3 linked regions of the Caenorhabditis elegans genome follow. The protein of the gene in region 1 purifies or fractionates together with the protein of each later gene. This does not show direct contact. Each region holds a gene or a part of one and is shown in the gene's direction. Other genes may lie near its edges.

Region 1 (4,624 bases):
TACAGATGCCTTGAAATGGGTTTTTAAAGAAAACATAGACCCCTTATGACGCGTGTCTCAAAATGTGGGGAAAGACGAATTGTTCAGTAAAGTTGACATCTCTTCTCAAAACTTGCTATGCTTTCTTCTTTTGTGGTTATCAAAATCTGAGCAGCATCCCACATCTAACAAAGGAGCCCCAGCTCTATTCTCTTGAGAAAAAGGGCCTGAGGTTCGGGATGGTGGGACGGAAGCCGCTGAAGAAAGAAGGAAGGCAAGGTCAAGGGTCGCATTTTGTGCATATTTGATTTTATGACACTGAGTGGAGGAAGTGTCTGTGAGGAAAAGGGGAACCTTTTGAATGAAAGGTTTTGAGAGAAGATGACGGTTTTGAAAGGATTTAGTGAGTTGGAAAGGAAAACTAAAATTTTTTTTCACTTAGTTACAAAATTAAACTCTTATTGAAATTATTCACTACCAAGAAAGTTCAATTTAGGACAATGCAATATTTCTTACATGCATCGCATTACTGATATTATATGTTGTCCTTACGGGTTGAGATCATAAAAATATGTTTGGAATAAAGCACAAAGCTTATTTATTTTTTAGTAACGAAAAGATTTAAAGTTGTAGAATTATCTATTTTAATTTGATTTAATTTGATATTTTCAGCTATTGCCGGAGGTGTTCTCGTTGCGGTGATTACAGCCATTCTACTCGTGCTCTTTGTAGTCTTTCGAATCAGGAAAAAAGATGAAGGGTCATACGCATTGGATGAACCCAAGCAAGCAAGACCATATGCCTCGTATGGTTATACCAAAGCATCGACAAAAGAATTTTACGCGTAATCTCTACTGTCATTTGTTCAAAATCTTCTATCACTCAATCACCTTTCAAATCATTTTTATGATTCTGTTCTCAGACTTCATTCCAATCTGCCATACCTTTCAATTTGTTTTTTTCCCACTCCCATTTTTTTCAAACCCTCCCCCCCCCCGCCTTCCTTTCGTAAAGGTCATTACTCTCTGTTCTACTCGTGATAATTTGATAATATAAACTGATCTGACTCCATGGTGCCAAATATTTGAATATAATCTTTTGTAGACCCACTTAGGGGTAGGGATGCATGTATCTTTGACTCAATTTATACTATACTCCCTTGTTACTATAATGTGCTCATATTATCCTATTCTAGAAATTTCCACCTAATTTCCAAAATCCCTCAACACTCTCACGCGGTTTCTCTGGTTTCTGATGGCACTTATCTGCTAGAGTTTTTTGTTTCAAAACTTGCCTCTTGAAATTTGTACTTTTTCTTGTTTTATCCGTTTACCTTTTTCTTTCCAATAACATCTTCTGTAACAATTTGAGATGCTCACATATTTTATGTATTCAAATTTATAAATATAAAAATATTACATTAATGTTCCAAAACAATATAAATAAACAAATAACGAAAGAAAAATGATCATGAGAAATCTCACATGGACAATGAAATAACAAGAAGAAGGAAACGAAGCCTTAAATTGAAAATAACGGGTTTCCATAGAGACAAAATAAAGCTGCGCGTTTTTTCAATCAGAATACGTAAAACTTTTTTGCCTCGTGCACTAATACTTTTCGAGCTTTCTTTTTTGGCTTCGGTTGCCATGTAATTTTTCTGAATGATAGAAGAGCGCCTATTGAAGTATTTGTTATTACTGTTCCTAATTCTTGGATTCTGCGAATGTAAGATTCTCAATCAATGCTATTCATCTGGAACAAGCTGTATTCGGTTTGAAAAAGCTTATTTTGAATTTGTGGACACTGTTCAACTAACCAGCGATAATGTGCCAACTCTAAAAGACAACGCAGGAACAACATCAACTCGTGTTGTGCTCAGTGAGCTTCTAAGTCATTTGGCATTCAATCATAGTTGGACACTTGCCGCATTGGTTAGCTTCCTTTTCGAAAATTCTGAATAATTGACGAACACGCAATTCAATTTGCATTCAGGTGGTCAACGCAGGCACACGCACTGACGTTCAATGGAAAATAGCTCCTGATGAGACAAGTGAGCATCCAATTGAAATAGACGATCCAGATGGATATGACAATCCGTTTCCTAATGCGACAGTTCATTGCGTCGACATTCAAAATTATGCTGATGACGCAAAACGGGTAAGTATTGGTCATGTCTCATTCATCTTCATTTTGAAGGTGTCTCCGAATGGTCTTCTTGTTACCACATAGAACCATATAAAATATATGAGAACAAAAAACGAAAAAAAAACGTATTGAAAGATGGGAATAGGAACCATATGGTTGTAATGTAATGGCGCGTTTCGTGTCGCCGTGTGTGTATGTTCAAAATGCGTCAAAGACCTTGTGAAAGACCAACTGCTCTTGTCTTTTATTTCGATTATGCAAAGGGTGTGAAATTGAAGGTGTATTGGTAGTGAGAAAATTGATTCTGTATTTAAGTGCCTTACACTTGATAGTCGGGGGAGCAACCAATATATTCGACTTTGACATTAAAAAAAACCTTACTGGTGTATCAGAGACCGGCACTTTTAGAAGTAAATTTTTGAATGAAAACGTAAGGATAATTTTTGAATTTTCAGGCTTTGAAAATAACATTACAAAACCTAAATATATCACGTTTAATTTGAATGTAATAATAAACAAAAAATTGAAAATTTTTGAAAATGCAGGGAATCAATACAACAGTGCCAGGAACGTTATAATTAAAAAGTTATGTTATATGGAAAAATGTGAAACACATGTTATATCTGCCACAGGTTTATACATGTTAGGTTTTTTAGGTAAAGTACATGCTTATTGTTATAGTAAAAACATCAACAATAGAATAAACATTATAATAGTTCAAATCAATTATGCACGTGTCGATGCTAATCCATCGGTCACAATACTTATAGTAAACACATTTTTGTGCTGTTTTACACAACAACAATGAAGAAACGATAATAGTTTAGTAAAATTATTTCCATTGGAATAGTGATTACTTTTTCAGAGCCCAATATTTAGATAACTTTTTAAAGCCAAGTTGATGCGTCATATGATAAAGCAGAAATATACAAGAGCGTGTTGTATCAAATATCCTGGATAAATTGAATTTAGAATCTTAGGACTATTATCAATGATGAGTTTAGATCCCCATCAAATTTGCGGATTTATTATAGTAGAAAGTTCCAGTAACAACATTGATCGGTTGAATTATTAAACTACATTTATAAAAAATAATTTTAAATCGTCTTTTAATACCTCAATTCTTTCTAACAGTGGCATTTTCAGTTTTTGGTAGTACCACCCAACTACAATTTCTTTTTTTCTGTTAATGGCTCCGCTTCCATAAACTGTTCAAAAAGTGGGATTTCAATTATTCCGTTTGTTTGGGATGATACCAGTAGGGCAAGTATACGAGGAATGTCCTATTTTTCTTCATCACCTTGCTCTAGTGTGAGATTGACAAAGATCAAATATATTTTTTAATTCTTCAATTTAGGAATGCCTCGTGTTGCCTATCCCAACATTGTTGGTTAGATTCTGCCCAAATGTCAACAACAGGTACAACTAACTTATATTAAAAATTATAACTATTTTTTAATACAGCAATTTGGAAATTCACATTGATAAAGTTGAAGATTTTACTGCCGAGTTGTCTGATGATTTACTTGGTATAAACATTCAAAAGGTTAATGATTCAATTGAATTTCCAATGGGCATTATGAATTGTGAGGTTTTGATGGAAAACTCTTCCATTCTCGGAGGTAACTAGTTTTTCCACCAAATCATTCATAAAGTACATATTATTCAGAAAACCCTATTTGTCTGGGAGATGGGGCAAATGTCGCCATTAAATTTGGTGCCAATCCAAAGATCGGCATACTACAAGAAGTGAAAACAAAATTCTCACCTCGATCAGCATTTCTCAAAAGTCCAAAAAATGCGGTAAATTCTCATTGAAGGGCAAATAAAATTGAAAGGCGCACAGTTGCAGGTGTATCCAAACTTTACAGTTTCCCATGAAAAAGAAGTGGCTACATGTTCTAATTCAACAACGTTCGAAGTAAAACAGATTTCAGGGAACGGCTTCATGCCTTTGAGTTTTCAGTGGACTATTTTGAATGGTTGGATTTTTTTATAATGTAATATCAATCAACTTCATAAATTAAGGTACCTTGGATATGGAAACCATTGCAAAAGCCGCAACAGAAAGACTTCTGGAAATCCCCAGTCATCATGTAAGATATAAAAATAAAACTTGATTTATTTTATTTTTGAAGCTATCAACAAACAATGTGATACTGGTCACCGGGTGTAATGTAGCGGAAAAATGCACTTCAAGTGGACCAATCTATACCGCACTTGTTGATGATGCATCAGTGTTTTCAGTTTCTATTGATGGTACTTGATACTTTTTAAAATGTTGAGTAAACTCAAATTATTCTAGGCGTTGAACAAGAAACCCCTGCTTCATTCGGTCTTCGTCTCCGTGCAAACCCTACTTTTAAGCAATGCAGCTCCAAAACGTCCCCAAAAGATGTTCAGGTGTTTCAATACATAAGCTTTAAAAAATGACATTATTTTTTTCAGTACGAGTGGAAATTGAATGGGGAAGGCAAAATGTATGATGACGGGCTCA
Region 2 (5,494 bases), on another chromosome or scaffold:
TTTTTGCGATTGTCTGTATATAATTGATTGAACCAGTTTGAAGTTCTAAATTTCTAAAAAGAATAATATTTATAGATTTTTTCAAATAAAAAAAAAGAATGATTGAGAACACATGTACAATCAAATAAATAAAACAAAGAGAAAAAACCAATCATTGCAACTCGAGCTGTGGTCTAATCAGTTTTGCTTTTGTTTCGTTTGTTGCGGAATATCCGGTTCCTCCTCTCTGAAGTTCAATGATGTCGTCCTCGCTCATCGGTTCTCCATTTATTGGGTCAATACCATCACCTTTGATTAATTTCTCAACTACGTCATACTTAACCACCGACTTTCTAAAAACAAATATGAGCATTGAACTTGAAAACATGAAGCTAAACTTACGATTTCTTGAGATATGCGCATCTTGTGGTGTTTGTCAATTCATCTCTGGTCACTGGACACAGAAATTTTCGGTGTGCGGCAGTTTCTGTTCCTGGCATTGGAGTGAATTTCACTTCTAATAACTCTTTCAATTTTATAGGTTTTCCAGAAACCGGACAAAGAACTTTGGAGCTTGGTTTTTCCAATTTCGTGGCGACAGCGGTGGGATTGAGTTCGGGTATCCAGAAACTTGGTAGTGAAGTGCTTTTGTCTCCCTTCATATTCGACATTACTCCTTCCTCGCCGTGTGCTTTCACTTTTGCGGCTATTTCAGTAGACATGACACCACCTTGTCTTTTCTAAATAAAATCATTAAATGGATAGTTTTTTTCAGATCTCTAACCAACCAGACTTCCAACCTCAGGCCTTGGTGTGGCCACAGCTCCGGTCCTACTTGGTGTACTTTCAATTGCTGAGAATTGTGTTCTTTTTGTGAAGGTTTCCGCTTGGCCTTCCGCTATTTTTGCCGCTGCACTTTCTTCTGCCACTTGTTTCTCATATTCCTTTAGTTTCTTTGCGTACGCCTTCTTCTGGGCTAGAATATTCTCAAGAATCGCTTCACGATCGAAAATATATCCGGTCGGAGAAATTACTGGATTTCTACATGGTTGAAGAGTCAAAGAGCAACAGTGAAACTCTTTAATTGAATCGGCACCAAGACGAGCGTGGAGTGTTCCGTATCCACTAGCCTGAAAATTAATATTTTATGTATAAAAGTTAGTATTCAGGCAAAAAACTCACTTTTGCATCCCTTCTACGTTCATGGTAAGTGTATACAGAAGCAGCCGTTGAGTTTTTTCCATGTCGGGTCATTTTCTGTATTAAAATCGTTTTTCAGCCAGTTTATATTAATTTAGATGTTAATGAGTGAACAAATTTAAAAAAAAACATAACATTTAACGAAAAATGAATAAAATAAAAACAAGAAAAACGAATATTTTAGCTTAAAATTGTTAATTCAAAAATAAAAACATAGTCATGTCGTTTTACGGTAAACAACGCGCGGTGGGATAACGGAGCATCGTACCTCTTCTCCTTTTTTTTTTGGAAAAACTCCTCCCATTTGTTGACCTACAGGAGAAATTGGAGAGTTCTCGTCTTAAAGTTGTCTTCAATATTGCCAAGTACGACCTATTTTTGTATTGAATCCTTGTGTGTGTATACCAATCAATACTTCCATTGCCAAACAAAGACAATCTTTTCAAAATGTTTCTCTGGCCCATGCCCGCATCTTTTTCTCTCTTCTTTTTCATTCGATGACCCGCCCGCAACGGCTGCCACAAAATGTTTTGCAATTGGTTCCTATCTCATTTTGTCTTCTTTTTGTTGATTTTTCTTATCATATACGGCCGACCTTATTTGTAAAATCATTTATTTTCAGTGTAAAATGGCCAAGAGCGTATCCCCAGAGGAGCAGGCCGCCGCACAAGCTGCTGATGAAGAGAAGACGAAAGAAGAATTAGAATGGGCTGAAAAAGGATCGCTTTTATGTAGAATTAAAAAGTAAGATTTCACTTCAAATAATTTATATTTCATGTAATTATTTACAGTCAAAAAGTGAAGGAAATGGCGTTGGTGACAATAAAAAGTAAACAATTCCTCAACTATTACTCAAGTTATTGGTTTAATTTTGTGCCAAATGCTTTGAAATCAGTTGCACTATCGGAATTGTTAGAAGTTCGATCGGGTTATCAAACTGACAATCTGCAAAGAGCATCGAAAAAATACGAATTCCAAGAGTTGGCTCCAGAGTCTAGATGTTTCTCCGTTATTTTTTCTCATGCCAAGTTCTTGCACAAATCAGTAGATTTCAGTGCTGATTCCAAAGAAGTTAGTTTTGATTTAAAAATCATTTAAAAACACAAGTTTTAAATTTTCCGAAAAGTCGTTAAGTACATCATTAAAATTGAAAGGAAATTTTTTGGTGAAAGTTTTCTGAAAAAAAATCTGCAAAGTCTTGACAGTTGTATCAATTCCAATTAGTTTTACAGACTAGAGACAAATGGGTTTCCGTACTGACACATCTCATATCAGTTGCCAAACATCAAAGAGTTGTATTCAACGAAACAGCATGGTTGATTGACAAATTTCAACAGGCGGATACCAATAAAAACGGACTTCTTAGTTTTGACGAAGTTTGGAATCTTCTTAAACGAATGAATCTTCAAATAAGTGAACGATATGCAAAAGCGATATTCAGAGAATCAGAGTTTGAGAACTCGCGAGATAATAAATTGAACGAGAAAGAATTTCTTAACTTTTTTGAAAGATTGACTGATCGACCGGATCTTCGATTTGTGATGACTCAAGCAAGTTCTGATAACGTGGAAACGCTGACTGTTGCTGATTTGCAAAGATTTTTAACTGAAGAACAAGGAGTAGGTCATTTCCATTAAATCCTTATAATATAAACATTTATTCCAGTTCGAAAATGTTGATTTGAAAAAAGCCGAACAAATTCTGACTACATTTGAACAAACTGTTCAAGATAAGCAAAAAGAAAAATTGATGGGATTGATGGGAATGCGTCGATTAATGCAGTCAAGATGGGGAAATGTATTCAAACCAGGACATGAAAGTATCTTCCAAGATATGGATCAACCTCTGACTCATTATTTTGTTAATTCATCACATAACACATATTTGACTGGCTTGCAAGTGAAAGGAGAAGCTACTGTTGAAGGTTATATTTCAGCTTTACGTAAAGGAGCAAGGCTTTTAGAATGTGAGTTTTTGAATTTTTTGTTGAACAATTAGTTTCTCGATTCTTTTCAGTAGACTTGTTTGATGGCGAACACGGAGAGCCAGTAATCACACATAAAAGAACCTTTATCGAGTCGATTACATTGAGGAATTCGCTGGAAGCTATTAAGGTAATTATTATTTGTACTTTAATGAAAAAATCGAAATAAAATCAATTTTTCAGTTTTGGTTTTTCCCTTTTTGAACTCCCTCCAAAATGATAAGCCACGCCCACTTTAGAACCAATCAGTGTCTTCGAACTCTGCACACTTCATCTGAAAAGTAGGCGGAGCGATTCGCTGATTGGTCTTGCAGAAGTTATTATGGAGGAAATTCAAACTGGGAGATTAACCAAGATTCAAAACTTGTGTTTTTTTTTCAAATTTAGGTGTTTCATTCTTCCGCTATTTTTTGATATTCTTTTGTTCTCACTACATTTTTTTAAAAAATGTTTCATTTCAGAGAACTGCGTTTGAAACATCACCATATCCTGTCATCCTCACCCTCGAAAACCACGTCGGATTTGTACAACAGGCTGTTATGGCAGATTTATTCAAAGAAATTCTTGGAGATTCTTTATATATTCCACCAAAAGATTCACATCGCCATCCGTTATCATCTCCGAATAAGCTGAAAAGAAAATTCCTATTGCGCGGAAAGAAAATTATTCTTGAAGAAGACATTGAAGAACCAGATGAAGATGATTCACCAACTGATAAGGATAAGCACCATGTACATCCACATCCAGTTGCACCTGAATTATCAGCTCTCATTGGTTTGCCGTCAGTAAAATTGAGCCATAATATTTATCAAGACGTCAACAAACGTTAGTTTAAAACGTCAAAAATAGATTAATATGCAAACTTTCAGATCCATTTGATGGAAGTCCTTCGCTCTCGGAAAATAAAGTATATACAATGTTTGAAGCTGCAGTTCCCATCTTCACTTACACTGCAGAAAGGCTTGTGAAGAGTTATCCAAAAGGATTACGTCAAGATTCATCAAATATGCATCCAATGGTTTCTTGGCTTTGTGGAATTCAAAGTGTTGCTATGAACTTCCAAACCGCTGGTGAAGAGCTTGATTTGAATGCAGGATTATTCAGAATTAATGGAAATTGCGGTTACGTTCTGAAACCAAGTTGCCTTCTCGATGGAGTCGATCCAAGAAGTATGGCCAAACCAAAATTGAAGCTTGGTATTGGACTTTTCTCTGCTCAGTATCTTCCAAAGTCAGAACCCGGAAAAGAGATCATTGATCCATACGTCAGTGTTCAGATTTTCGGAATTCCACGAGATGAAACAAAAGCAAAAACAAGAATCATCAAGGACAATGGATTCAACCCAGAATGGAGGGATAATTTCTATTTCACACTCTCGTGCCCAGAGCTAGCAATTATTCGATTCTGTGTAAAAGTAGGTTTTGAAACATTATGGATCTAAATTTTATATTCCACTTTCGCAGGATTTTGACTCTACATCTTCGAACGACTTTGTTGGAGAATTCTCAATTCCTGTTATGAGTCTTCGTACAGGTTTCTCGCAAATTCAACTAAATACCGGATATCAACATACTCTGGACCCATCTGCATCTCTTTTTGTACGAATTGCAATGGAGGAAGAGTACTAATTCTCCTGCTTTTTAAACATATTTTTGAGACCAAAGCCGTTTTTATCACTACCTGTGTGTTATCTGATTACATGTAATATATGTTCTACTGCCCTTTCTTTCGCATAGTTTTGTAGTTAATTTTTAATGCATATTTTTAAAAAATTTATTGTTTTATTGGTTTATGGGTATTTACACTATATTATTTTTTAGAAACATAAACTTATTGGCGTAGTTGGTGTAGATAATCTGCGAGCCATTTCTGAAAGAGTCAAAAAAATCATGTTACTAAATGGTGTATTCGAAAACAAACAATTGGATTATCCGGTCTCTCAACTGCTACGCGAGCCAGTCCCTGGCTCAGTTTCGGCCATACTTCTACTGAGAGATAATCCTTGGCATGTTTCAGCATTGCTCTTTCGTCAATGTCTGAATATATTTTTATGGGAGAGTCAAAATTCTAACTTTATGGAATCTTACACTTGGGGAAAAAGAAAATTATATCGTGATAGGCGGCAATTGTCGTTTTTGAATAATATATTCCATCACTTGAACTCATTCTGAATTAAACGCTTGTGAAGTTTTAAAACTCTTCGGATAGATTTTTTGAAAAACCTCCAAAAGTGTGAAGGTTTCGTACCGAAACGAGACTACGGTAACGGTTATTTTCAACTGTGCGCAATGTTTTTCTTCCATTGTTTTTCAGTATTTTCGGATGTTTGTT
Region 3 (6,176 bases), on another chromosome or scaffold:
TACCGAAACAATGATCGACAAGAGCAAAAGTGTGAAGACAGCTTTAATGGACTTATTTCCTGGAAATTCGGATATTGAAGGAGTCGACATCAAAAATGCCTGCTTTGGAGGCGCACAAGTGAGTTTTTTGTCTCTCAAAATAGAATCTTCAATTATATTTTCAGGCACTGCTGCACGCTATCGATTGGGTCACAGTGAATCATCCGCTTGATAAGAAAAACGCAATTGTAGTAGTCGCGGATATTGCAATATATGAAGAAGGTCCAGCGAGATGTACAGGCGGTGCAGGAGCGATTGCTTTTCTTATTTGTCCAGATGCTTCTATTCCGATTGATCGGCAGTTTTCAGCGTGTCACATGAAAAACACGTGGGATTTCTTTAAGCCAATTAGTAAGCTATTAATTTCTCTATTTACTTTTAAAAAATTAAATTCCAGCGCCGATTCCGAGTGAATACCCCGTTGTCGATGGATCATTATCATTGAGCTCATATTTGGAAGCAGTCAGAATGACATACACATATTTCATATCAAAAGTTAATCGCCATACAACGGGTATCGACGGGCTGAACTCATTTGACGGAGTGTTTCTTCACTCACCGTTCACGAAAATGGTTCAAAAAGGCCTGGCTGTGATGAACTATACTGACTCGCAACTTCGTCACAAGCAATTGTAGGTTGATTAGTTTAGAAAAATTTTCAAATGTTTATTTTATTCAGAAATGGAAATGGTGTCGATCATAAACTCGATGAAAACGATCGCGCTGGACTTGCAAAAATGATCGAATTGTCTGCTCAAGTTTGGAAGGAAAAAACAGATCCATATCTTGTTTTCAACAGGCGAATCGGAAATATGTATACTCCATCACTCTTTGCTCAACTTTTAGCATACTTGGCAGCAGATGATTGGTATGATGAAGAATATACCGATTTTTAGAGCTAATTTTTAAAATTACTTTTCAGCGTCACCGGGGAGAAAAGCATTTTATTCTTCGCCTATGGAAGTGGTCTAGCGTCAGCAATTTTCCCAGGAAGAGTTAGGCAGACATCTAATCTTGATAAAATTCGTCAAGTCGCAATAAGGGCGATTAAAAGGCTCGATGACCGAATTCAGTTTACTCCAGAAGAGTTTACAGAAACATTACAAAAAAGAGAAGTTTTCCTACGATCAAAAGGTGAGTAATTCTAATAGTGATTGGTTTTTAATGTCATTTTGTTTTTCAGAGATTCCAAAATCTCCATCCGAAACTTCATTGTTTCCCAACACTTATTTCCTTGATAACATGGACAAGCTTTATCGCCGATCATATACTTTACACGAGGAACCAAACGGTGTTCAAAACGGGAACGGAATTCATCATTAAAAATGTATCTTTTGTTTTTTTTTTTTTAGTTTTTAATTTTATCACATCGTTTGCCATAGTCTACTTCTTTGTTACTGTTTTTTATTCGCTCATTAGAGTTGTATTTTCTTTTCTTTTTTTTAAATTAAAACGAGTTGTTTTTTTCTGATAATTGATTTTGTTGAACACGTGTACTATTGTCACGACAATATTTTCCATTTCTCGAACGGCTCAATTTAATTTCAAAGTTAAGATGGGAAGAGATCGGTCGTCAAGCTCGGACACAGACGACTACTACCGCTCCAGCAGCAGCAGGTATGCACCGGACTTTTGAACGAAACATGTTTCATTTGGAGGACCATGATGTGAAGCGGTTAAATATAAATTCCAGAACAGCTTGTGGGAAGCTTCGTGAGCCCCACGAAACCACTGCTCTGAGCATCTTCAAAAACTCACCGCAAGCTCGGTTCTGAAATTTCGCCGCTTAAAATTCATATCTCACCGTTCCTGAATTTTTTCACATGAAACATGCCTAGTAAAAAATCCTGATGGCACCATCGGCCCCTCAGAAGTAAACCATCCAAAATTAGAATTTCAGAAAAAGAGAAGATTCACACCGCCGTCGCGACGATCGGCATCGGGACTCGGATCGAGATCGAGATCGACGAAGGAGAAGGTACGATGTGTTCTTAGTTTTGGATTGCATGATGTACTCATGATGTCAACACTCACGGGTTCTTTTCCCTTTCTGGATTAGGACGTTTCCCACTCTAAAAAGGGTTAATTTCTGATGAAAAACAATGAAAAATCAGAAAAAAACAAAGAATTCTCGGCAACAAACATACACGTTGCATAAGCCCTCATTTTTACAGAAAAGGTTTGCGTTCATTTCCGCTCTTCGCCACTCTCCGAGTCTCAAATGAGAAAGTGATAATAATTGTGTTATTTTGTGTACATTTTATAAATAAAATAAACCGCCGCTTAGTACTTTTTATTTAAATCCGACTTTAGCGTTTAGCGTCAACTGATGGGAAGGAGCACACAAAAGCTGTGGATGAATACGGTTTTGAGCAACACGAAGAAGCTTAATAATAATAATCATGATAATATTTCTAATTTCGTACTATCAAAATTGTTTTCTATGTTTTTGCATGCACATTGAAGAAACTCGAAATAATTTACTCTACTTTAACTAACCAAACTTTCAGCCGTTCTCGTTCCAACTCGAATCGTCATAGAACAACAGGAGGATCTCAACGGAGTCGTAGTAGCCGACATGGATCAGATTACAAGGATACCTCGTTGATGACTCGACCTTCTGTGGCAAGCCATTTCGGTACTCCTCCAATTGATGTGGCTGATTTCGACAATTGGGTGAACATTCTTGCGAAAGTGGATCAGAGTGTACGGCATTCTTTTTGTGGCACGATTAACTTTATATTTTCACAATTTTCAGGATGATGTGGATTTTGCCCGCGAAAAGTATCGCTCTTTCCTTTCGAGATATCCAAATTGTTACGGATTCTGGCAGAAATACGCCGAATACGAGAAGAAGATGGGGAATATTGCCGAAGCTAAAGCTGTCTGGGAAAAAGGAATTATCAGTATTCCGCTTTCGATTGATCTCTGGCTCGGATATACTGCAGATGTGAAGAATATCAAGAACTTCCCGCCAGAATCCTTGCGAGAGTAGGTTTTCTCCTCATTCAGATATTACACAGGCGTCTCAATTCTCACGCGCATGGGTCTCGCCACGCTGAAAATGAGTTACTGTAATTTTCAAGTCATGTCGGTTTTCGACCCGCTATAGCATTAATTTTTCAAATTAAGTGAAGAATTGCTACCTGATGCAGTAGCGGACCGTAAATCCGCATGAGTTACAGTAACCCCTTGTCAGCGGGGCACGTCTACGTAATAAACGTTTTCTAATCAAATACTAAATGAGCAACTCAAAATACTTTTTTTTCAGTTTATACGCCAGAGCAATTGAAATCGCGGGGCTCGAGTACCAAAGTGATCGGCTTTGGCTGGAAGCAATTGGCTTTGAACGTGCCGTGTACATGGATGAGCTTTGCAAAGGAAACACTAATGCGAGTTGCAAGAGAATTGGAGTTTTGTTCGACAAACTTTTATCTACTCCAACATTCCATGCACCATCTCATTTCGATCGATACGTACAGTACTTGAACACTATCGAGCCACATCTTTTGCTCAGTGATCGAGAATACGAAGAGATAATGAAGATGGTCTGCAAACAGCTTGGGAAATCGGTCAGTTGTTAGATTATTGTCGAATTTATTTATTCATCTCAAAATTTTAATTATTTCAGATCGAAGAACTCGTGCAACAAGTCCAATTGAGTTATATATGTCAATCTGGAGAGAACGGAATGCTCAACATCATGACGGAATCCGCTGAAGGAACATTCCCGATCACTGTGAATAGTCTCCAACACGATCCGACAGCACTACAGCTTATTCGCGGAGAAATTGTGGCTCGCCGTAAGAGAATTTATGACAAGAACATGAAAGAGTGCGAGATACGTGCTGGATTCGAAGCAAACATCAAAAGACCATATTTCCATGTGAAACCACTCGATTATCCACAATTATTCAACTGGATGTCTTATTTGGACTTTGAAATTAAGGAAGGCCACGAAGAACGCGTTAAAATTCTTTTCGATAGATGCCTGATTCCATGTTCTCTCTATGAAGAATTTTGGATCAAGTACGCTCGTTGGACATGGAAAACGTACAAATCGAAAACAAAGTCTCGAGAGATTTATATGAAAGCGAAGATACATTGTCCTACTTCACTGAATTTGGCTCTCAGTGAATCCGGTTTCGAAGAGTCTGTTGGTAAGTTACAGAAATTACTGTTCAAATTTTTGAATGCATAATTTAGTTCAGTTTTTATAAATATTAGAAAAAGTGATTTGAAAATTTGAATTTTCTGGAAATTTCTCTATGCATGGAAAGAACGTGTTTCTATTAGTCATATTAATCAAAAAATATACACTTTTACATCGTTTCCGAGGCTTTTTGAACTTTTTGAATTTCAAGTTTAGTCAGCGTTAAAAATTAATAATTTATCAAAATTTCCTCAATTTACAAACAAACAATTTCAGAAAATTTCGACGATGCCATCAAAATCTTGGACAATTTCCGTGAAGAATATCCTGGATACGTCCTCCTCGAGCTGCGTTACCTCGGGGTTCTCCGTCGTAAATCTGAAAAAGAAGGACACGGAGCGCCATCGGAATTTGTGATGAATCAATACGAATCGCTTATTAGAGATTCCCAATCGTCCCCAAATCTTCACTCGTTCTACAGTTTAAAACTCGCAAGATATCATCAAAAGTCGCGTCGTGATCCTAAACTTGCTCAGAAAGTTCTGAAGAAGGCAATCTCGATCGACCCATTCAATTTGCAATTGTACAGTCAATATGTTGATATTGCGTATTCTTCTGAATCGATGTCTGAATTAGATGTTATTCAATCGTTCGACGTCGCACTGGACAGTAATCTCAGATTAGAGGACAAAGTTCGATTCAGCCAACGGAAACTCGATTTTTTGGAAGAACTTGGAAATAATATTCTTGCGTAGGGGATTCTTGAAACTTTCTTAAAATTCTAATGATTTCTTTTTTTTCAGAGTTGAGGATCATCGTGATTTCCATTATAACCTTCTTGGTCAACTGCCGGATAATGTGACGATTCGAACTCGATTTGTGAACGACCCAAGCAGAGTGTAAGTATTTTCAAGTGTTTATAAATAATTGAAATTCTGAAATGTTTAGTGCACTGGCTCCAGCTATGCCTCCCCAACAACAGATGGTTTATGCTCCAGCTATTCAGCAACAACCAGCCATGAATATGAGTTAGTAATTTTTAGTTTCAAACAAAATTTTAATATCGTACATTTTAGTGCCAATGATGCCAATGCAAATGCCCTACATGGCTTCTTCAGCTGTTCAATTGACTCTTATCGAATCTCCCAGTACAAATTAAACCCAAGGACCGTCTTTATTCAATCAATATACAATGACTCTCATCTTTTAAACCTTACAGAGTAACTTGTGAACTAGTTACCGTGAATAGTAATTGCTGTTCTTTTTTAAATTATCCTATTTATCTGTCCACGACCTCCTGTTAGCACTGATTTGTTCAATAATATTTGCAATTGCCCTTTTCCTTTTTCATCCGCGATTCATTTCGTTTTTATTCAACTCTCCTTCCACTGATTGTTATCAAAATCTGATTTTAAAATAAACCCAAGGTTCATCATGTGTGAGTATCGCAAAGATTAGATTAGCAATGCGTGATTCACCTCCTTATTGTATGAGTCTCTCCCGGTGTCTCCTGGGGAAGCAGCAGTAGTGTTTGTTATTTCTCAATTTAAATCTGAACCGCAAACTCATTTGGGAAGCTCCTCTTCCTTCCGAAGTGACCTAGTCTGACTGACTATCATCTATTGTTTCCAATTCTGCTGCTTCAGGATTTTATCGCGCCGCGAGCCCACGAGTCGAACGGATTATTACGGAGTTGTTCGGTGCGAAGAGCCCGCAGCCGTTGAGCAGGCCAAAGGTCGATCGGGAGTCGGAACTGAGAAAATAGAACGGATAGAAACATTGTACCTTAAAGATTGATGATAATGATTTTTCTTCTTCTCCGACGAACATTTCGTTTTGTAAAATTTTCGAAACTCTTGAGAAAGACACGAGTCCCAAGAGGTAAGCACACTCGAACAACATGCTGCTGCGGGGGAGACCGATTTTGGAGGCAGCTAGCTCCTTATCAGAACGCGGGTTGTTAGTTATTTGCACTTATTACGAA

Evidence for each region.
Region 2: the proteins of F57C7.4 (region 1) and plc-4 fractionate together in Caenorhabditis elegans (co-fractionation; one large-scale study listed by BioGRID). This does not show direct contact.
Region 3: the proteins of F57C7.4 (region 1) and prp-39 fractionate together in Caenorhabditis elegans (co-fractionation; one large-scale study listed by BioGRID). This does not show direct contact.

Annotation. Positions count from the first base shown.
Region 1 is NC_003284.9:10,586,558-10,591,181, reverse strand, and holds the start of F57C7.4 (PKD/REJ-like domain-containing protein), read left to right. Parts: upstream 1-1,616; 5' UTR 1,617-1,643; coding exon 1,644-1,913; intron 1,914-1,974; coding exon 1,975-2,139; intron 2,140-3,273; coding exon 3,274-3,438; intron 3,439-3,484; coding exon 3,485-3,546; intron 3,547-3,591; coding exon 3,592-3,749; intron 3,750-3,796; coding exon 3,797-3,930; intron 3,931-3,979; coding exon 3,980-4,109; intron 4,110-4,155; coding exon 4,156-4,223; intron 4,224-4,265; coding exon 4,266-4,386; intron 4,387-4,432; coding exon 4,433-4,530; intron 4,531-4,575; coding exon 4,576-4,624. Other genes in the region: sdn-1 (putative syndecan), read left to right, coding at 652-827.
Region 2 is NC_003282.8:7,508,975-7,514,468, reverse strand, and holds plc-4 (Phosphoinositide phospholipase C), read left to right. Parts: upstream 1-1,801; 5' UTR 1,802-1,807; coding exon 1,808-1,923; intron 1,924-1,970; coding exon 1,971-2,250; intron 2,251-2,318; exon of another isoform or gene 2,319-2,411; coding exon 2,412-2,798; intron 2,799-2,844; coding exon 2,845-3,145; intron 3,146-3,195; coding exon 3,196-3,293; intron 3,294-3,624; coding exon 3,625-3,988; intron 3,989-4,032; coding exon 4,033-4,577; intron 4,578-4,626; coding exon 4,627-4,791; 3' UTR 4,792-4,945; downstream 4,946-5,494. Other genes in the region: R05G6.4 (Nitric oxide synthase-interacting protein homolog), read right to left, coding at 152-332, 382-719, 768-1,109, 1,162-1,233; R05G6.5 (Uroporphyrinogen-III synthase), read right to left, coding at 4,994-5,032, 5,084-5,199, 5,251-5,330.
Region 3 is NC_003283.11:5,678,049-5,684,224, reverse strand, and holds prp-39 (Pre-mRNA-processing factor 39), read left to right. Parts: upstream 1-1,594; coding exon 1,595-1,656; intron 1,657-1,939; coding exon 1,940-2,017; intron 2,018-2,549; coding exon 2,550-2,745; intron 2,746-2,797; coding exon 2,798-3,030; intron 3,031-3,310; coding exon 3,311-3,611; intron 3,612-3,670; coding exon 3,671-4,199; intron 4,200-4,468; coding exon 4,469-4,943; intron 4,944-4,995; coding exon 4,996-5,091; intron 5,092-5,140; coding exon 5,141-5,220; intron 5,221-5,268; coding exon 5,269-5,351; 3' UTR 5,352-5,627; downstream 5,628-6,176. Other genes in the region: hmgs-1 (Hydroxymethylglutaryl-CoA synthase), read left to right, coding at 1-118, 165-390, 437-671, 719-907, 962-1,173, 1,223-1,362.